2 linked regions of the Arabidopsis thaliana genome follow. The protein of the gene in region 2 interacts with the protein of the main gene of each other region in a pairwise test. Each region holds a gene or a part of one and is shown on either strand. Other genes may lie near its edges.

The links.
Region 1: the proteins of AT5G45360 (region 2) and SK6 interact in a two-hybrid assay, tested with the Arabidopsis thaliana proteins (2 studies listed by BioGRID).

The regions. Positions count from the first base shown.
Region 1 is NC_003074.8:19,668,478-19,671,077, forward strand, and holds SK6 (SKP1-like 6), read left to right. Parts: upstream 1-1,688; coding exon 1,689-1,946; downstream 1,947-2,600. Other genes in the region: AT3G53050 (D-galactoside/L-rhamnose binding SUEL lectin protein), read left to right, coding at 607-957, 1,034-1,111. UniProt on the Arabidopsis thaliana protein: Involved in ubiquitination and subsequent proteasomal degradation of target proteins. Together with CUL1, RBX1 and a F-box protein, it forms a SCF E3 ubiquitin ligase complex. The functional specificity of this complex depends on the type of F-box protein.
Region 2 is NC_003076.8:18,385,123-18,388,879, forward strand, and holds the start of AT5G45360 (F-box family protein), read right to left. Parts: upstream 1,750-3,757; 5' UTR 1,549-1,749; coding exon 1,486-1,548; intron 1,169-1,485; coding exon 965-1,168; intron 883-964; coding exon 809-882; intron 696-808; coding exon 620-695; intron 470-619; coding exon 359-469; intron 275-358; coding exon 100-274; intron 17-99; coding exon 1-16. Other genes in the region: UMAMIT1 (nodulin MtN21 /EamA-like transporter family protein), read left to right, coding at 3,289-3,503.

The sequences.
Region 1 (2,600 bases), on a different chromosome or scaffold from region 2:
AACAAGAACTTGTTTTGTCAAAAACTTTTTGATACTTGCCATAGTTACAGATTTTTCATACATGTTCCTAATATTGTTTATCAAATGTTGCGGTGATAGTTCAACAACTAGACCTATAAGAGCAAGTCATGCTTCGATGTGGCACCAACCTAGAGTTTATAAACCCCTAAGCAAAATGAAAAAATGTAATTTATAGGAATGAAATAAATTTTCAAATAATAACTTATATCTAAAATATAAAAAGTTATGCAAAATAATTTATAAAATAGTTAGTCACAAAAATTGTACAAAACTAAAAAAGTCTTATGTGATTAACTATAACCTATAACCTATTATTTAGGAAACAATTTAAAAATCAATGATATTTACTTATTTTTGCTACTGAAAATGCAAACCTGTTATTAAGTAATCGTAGAAAAGTCAAAAGGATTGTTATTCATTAACTCCCCCAAAAGCCAAGAAGAAGGAGAGTGAGAAATGGAGAGAAAACTTCACGACCACATTCACATTATAACTCAAATGTATATAAAAATTATCCATAAATAGCCTAGTCCTCATTCTCATATTCCTTTTGATTATTAGTGAGAACACAACACCAACAACAAAATGGGAGACTCACATTGCCGTTGTCTTCATGGCTTTATTTTGCTTGTTGTTCTGTTTCTTTCCTTCGTGTTTAGTTTCGCTTCAAAGATAGACGTTTCTTTTCACGGAGACGAGAAACGTAGTCTCTCTAGCTCCATTAATTCCTCTCTTAGTGAGTCAGCGGAATACACAATGTGCGCGACTCATAAAGAGGCTAAGGATGGTAAACCAATCGCATTGGATTTCGATTGCGAACAAGGATATGTTATTTCAAAGATCACTTACGCCGACTATGGCCAATCCACTGGTAGTTGTGGGAAATTTAAACGCGGTAATTGCGGTGCAAGCAATACCTTAAATATCGTCAACAAGGTATACAAAATCAATCAAAAATACAAATTTTCTTTCAAATAGTGTTCTTATTAATTATTATCGTTTGTTTGTGCAGAAATGTCTTAGGAAAGAGAAGTGTAAGTTGTTTGTTCCAGACAAGATTTTTGGTCCGAGCCACTGCAAGGGAGCTTAAGTCTCGTTATTGACGCTACTTGTAGAAAACTTAGTTTTTTTCTTGTTTTCCAAGTTAAAGTTTCTTTATGTAATCGACCTAGTCAAGCTTTTGTTTCCTACTTTACACGTTTGTTACATTTTTTCTCTTTGTTGCAAACCCCAAATGTGTATGTGCCATACAATATCAATCATCTTTGCCATATTTTATCGAACTGTTTATAGGTTACTCAATATTTTTCTCCTCAAAAAATGTGAAGACTGACACGTACCAAATCTTTTAAGTGAGAATCACAACAAATCACATAAAACACCAACCAATTCCATTCTTTTTCCTCTTTTGACACACTTTAATCCAAATCTGATCAAGTTTTGGGGCCACATTGCAAAATTGGGGCCCGTTGTAAGTTTTGGTCCCAATCTGAAAATGCATATCCCACCGACTCTGACAATTAGGGCTTATAAATAAACGAGCACATAAGTTCATAACTTGGTTACTTCATTATTCTTCCATCTTTTTCATCAAATTGCTAAGAGAGTAAAATCGCCCCATAACGAAGTAACCATGTCGAAGAAGATAATCGTGTTGACAAGCTCCGATGATGATAAAGGGTATGGCAGAAGACGATTGTGCCGATAATGGAATCCCTCTTCCAAACGTGACAAGCAAGATACTCTTATTGGTGATCGAGTATTGCAAGAAGCACGTCGTTGAGAGCAAAGAAGAAGATCTAAAGAAGTGGGACGCTGAATTCATGAAGAAGATGGAACAATCGATTCTCTTTGATGTTATGATGGCTGCGAATTATCTCAATATCCAAAGCCTTCTTGATCTCACATTTTCAAACTGTCGCTGATTTGCTCTCAGGCAAAACTCCAGGCGAGATTCGCTCATACTTCAATATCGAGAACGATTTCACAGCAGAGGGAGAAGCTGAGATCCGCAAGGTGAATCAATGGGCTTTTGAATGAAAGTGGATCTTCAAAGTTCTTTCTTCTTTAGTGTTTTCGGTTTTCTTGATGCGATGTTAGATGATTACTTCGTCTATTTCTTGTTTGTTCTGTTGTTTCTTTTCTTTTGGTTTCTTGATGCATAAGTAAACCAATGTTTGTTGTATCTTTACCCTAGAGACGATCTATTGTTGGATTTTAGTATATGCTAACCAAATCTGAAGATTGATGTTTTTGTTTTTGAAGCAATTCTTGAATATATGTGAAGTCAAATCCTTCCTTTTTTTTTTCTTATGGTAATTGAAGTTTACTAATCCGAAACTAATTATATGACACTTGAATTTTGATATTCTATACTTGTATCATAATTAATAATCAAGCAATAAATGCAAATTGTCAAGATTGAACATTCTAAAATAGATAGTGTGAAAATTTGTTGTTCTCTTTGCGAAATAAAAACAGTTGTTTTAATATTCTCGTAGGAATATGATAAACCTAATTATAGAAAACTTCGCAGCCACATCCGCACACAAATTCGCATCTCTAAGAAACTTTAATTA
Region 2 (3,757 bases):
CAGTTATCATCGCATACTGTTATAAAGACCATAAAAACTATGTAAGTTTAGAGTAAAACACAGTAACAAAGTTACATTTTACAGCATTTCATTACATACCATGAACATTTCCCGTCTCTTTGCATATGAACACGTCGTCAATCTGATGGTATGAACATTTGGTTCCCAAACAAATATGGCCAGTGACAGCCTTATCAGTAAGTCCTTTGCTTTTCTTCCATAGAGAAACTTGTTCAAGTACAGTATTGTCAAGAATTATCCGGTCATCCACCATCTAAAAATTGCAAACAAGAACATGAGAAAATTCTTCACGTGATGATTTGTCCTAAAACATAAACAGATAATTATAAATAGTTACCTGGGACGGAAGAGGTGCTTGGCTTCTCTTTGCTGCTTGCATATGTACGTAATACTCCTTGAAATCCGACGGACAGGTTCTGACAAGTTCAATCATGTCCTGTTCATCACGCTAAAATTCGACAAGAGAAAGGAATCACTTAAAAATATATATGATCTGACTTCTACTAGCAACGCAAACTAACACTGTATATTCTTCAGCAATGTAATACTACTTGGAAACATCTAACAAGTTTATACGAAAAACCAAGGAGAAACTCACATCAATATAAAGCTTCTTCCAAGCAGATTCACGTAACTTTCTACTTGGAAGAGTTAGACCCCACCGGATACAGTACCTGCATATAAACAAAAAACAACCAATAAGATCATCACATCGTTTTTGAATACAAAGTATTGATTTTGAAAACAAGATTATCAACGACAATAAGGGGTACAAGAAGAGGCTTACAGGCGACGCCATAAGGATTCATCAGCCGCAGCAAAATTGAGAAATTTACAAACCAAGGAGCATGATACAAGATCCTGTAATGACATTCAAACAATTTAGTTTAAAAGCAATCCTCAAACATCAATAAAGTTCGAGTTTGAACTATATAGTATATACCTCCGAAGATAAGAACTTGAGAATATGACGAAACAGCTCAGTAGGAACATTGGTGAAAACTCCACTCTCTATTCTCTTTGCATCAGTTTTATCTTTGTTACCATTTTCCTTTTGATCTTCATCCTTCTCTAGAGCCTTTGTTTCGCCTTTCTCAATACGTTGCCGTTTTGCCTCAGGTTCTTTCGTTTCTTCTTTATCCTCTACCTACAAAAACCAAAGCATCAATAAATAATCTAACCTTTCACAGGACAACGCTGAACAAGAGCAAAATCACAATGGACATCAATCGAAGAACATGAACAAAAATTATGTGATTTTTCAAAAATTTCAAATGTATGCATATAAGATCAAATTTACAGATCAAGGAACTGAAGTTATCAAAAATGAAAAAAAAAACTAGGGGAACGGGAAAATCTCGACAGAATTTCAGATTCAGCTACAAAATTCAAAGATTGATGGAGAAGAAATTACTAAACCCTAAATGAAATCGAAAATTTGAATAAACGGAGAAATTTTTATACCGATGAGACTTCTGATTCGAGGAATCGAGCGAAACACTCATCTTCCTCATCGGAAACAGACATACTTTTCAGTCGGTGAAGATCAAAGCTCCGACGACGATGGTTGCGTTTATGCGGCCAAGGAAAGGATTGGAGAGAGACAAGACTCGAGAGGGTTGGCGTTTGGAATCGGTGGCGTGAGATTGGAGACGACCTCGGGCCGAATAATTTTGATAAATGGGCTAATAACCTAAATGGGCCATATATTAATAAATAAGCCCATAACACTAACCCTCCTCCTTGTCGTTAGCGTCATTAATACAAATTAGCTTTCTAAACGTGATTAAATAACAACATTTTTCTGAATTATTATTACGAGTTAACGACGTTCGAACTACTACTATAATTAAATTTTCTTAAAACAGAACATTTGTTATTGGATCAGCAACTACTTTTTAAGGAGTTTTTTCATTTAAGGAAATGTTATATTACTAGATCCACTAATCGACATAAATAAAGGCATATTTTACCAACTTCAGTATTACACTGTAAAAATTAGGCCTGGAAGTTCGGCATAACCCGTTTAAACCGAACCGAACAAACCGACGATTTCGGTTTTCGGTTTCAAACCGATTTTCTGTTGTAAATCGTTCGGTAGAATTTTAAATTGATTTCGGTTTTCGGGTTTTTCGGTTCGGTTCATCAAAACCGATCGGTTTTGTTCGGATTGGGGAGATACCTTTTAAAACAGAAAAATCCTAGATCTATCACTTCATCTTCTTTGTTTTCTAAACTCTCCTCTTCACGAACACCTTTATTTCTCCTCATCTCTAACCCATTTTTATCTTTTAACCTTCTAATTCTTCCTTATTCCTCCTTCTTCTCCTTGTCTTCGTTCTTCTTCTCCACCTTTTAGGTTCGCAGAAATATTCTATTAAGCCACCGCGACATCGATCTTCTCTGGCAATGATTTCATGGTTCTCTACATCTTTTCTCACCACCGCACAATACAAATCTATTTTCTCTGTTTTCAATGTTCTTCTTCTTCATCTCACCCTTGTTTTTCTTTGACGGCCGTCATTTCCAAAAAATAAAACAAAACAAAACCCTAGATGGGTGTGATGGGCTTTTCTTGTCCCTGGAAAAAAAGAATTTGGGTTTTGAAAAGTTAAAAACCGTCATGGGCTTTTTGACTTTACTTGTCCCTCAAAAAAAAAGTTTTGGGTTTTTAAATGTCAAAAGCCGATATGGGCTTTAAAAACAGCCCACTATGCCTAATATTGTGATCTAAACTGATTAGGTTAACCGATTAAAAAAAATTCGGTTTAATTTCGGCGAATTATAAATCCTAGTAACCGAACCGAAAAAACCGAGTACCGAACCGAACCGAACCGAATTTTTGTTCGGTTCAATTCGGCAGAATTTTTGAAAACCGAAAAACCCGGAAAACCGAACAAACCGAACCGTTTAACCCGAGTAAACCGAATTTTTATATTACACCATTTTTTGTGGAAAATTTTCATATTTTTTAAGTAGGATATATGAGCATATTTAACAAATGTGTTAATCTGTTAGGCTTCAATGTGTATAAGATTTAAGAAAATAATCTGGCAAATTTTTTTTTGCCTCAACTTAACAAAAAATCATAGTTAACAAATTGAAGAAGACCAACGACTACAATGACCAGAGAAGTTTTTTTTTTTTTTGGAACGAAAAAACAGAGAAGTTAGAATTACAATTTACAGAGCAAATCAAAGGATCTCAATTTCTTTAGTCAACAGGTGTTCCTTCTCTTCTTCCTCGATTCGGAGGTAGAGAAGAAAAATGGCAGCTCCGGCGATCCTAAACGGCGGCGATGCGACGGAGAGAGAAACACGAATGGCTCACTCTGCAATGACATTGGTTCAGGTCATAAATGGAGGATACCATGTGGTTACGAAAGTAGCTCTTAACGTTGGTGTAAATCAGCTCGTTTTTTGTGTCTTTCGCGATCTTCTTGCTCTCTCCATTCTCGCACCTCTCGCTTTTTTCCGTGAAAGGTCCCTTTTTATCTTCTTCTCAAAATCTCTCTGTTTCTTTATCCTTTTGCTTGAATTGCTAAAGTCTCTGAAGTCTCTGTTTCTGATTGTTTTGATGAGTTTATATGCGGCAAAATCAGACAAATAGTTTGATCTCTCTGGAATTGGAATTAGGGTTGTTTTTCTTTGTTAATTCTGGTTCTATTGTTTAATGATGGATTGCAATTTTGTGTGACTTGGATTTGTCTTTTGATAAAGATTTGCTCTTTTAATTT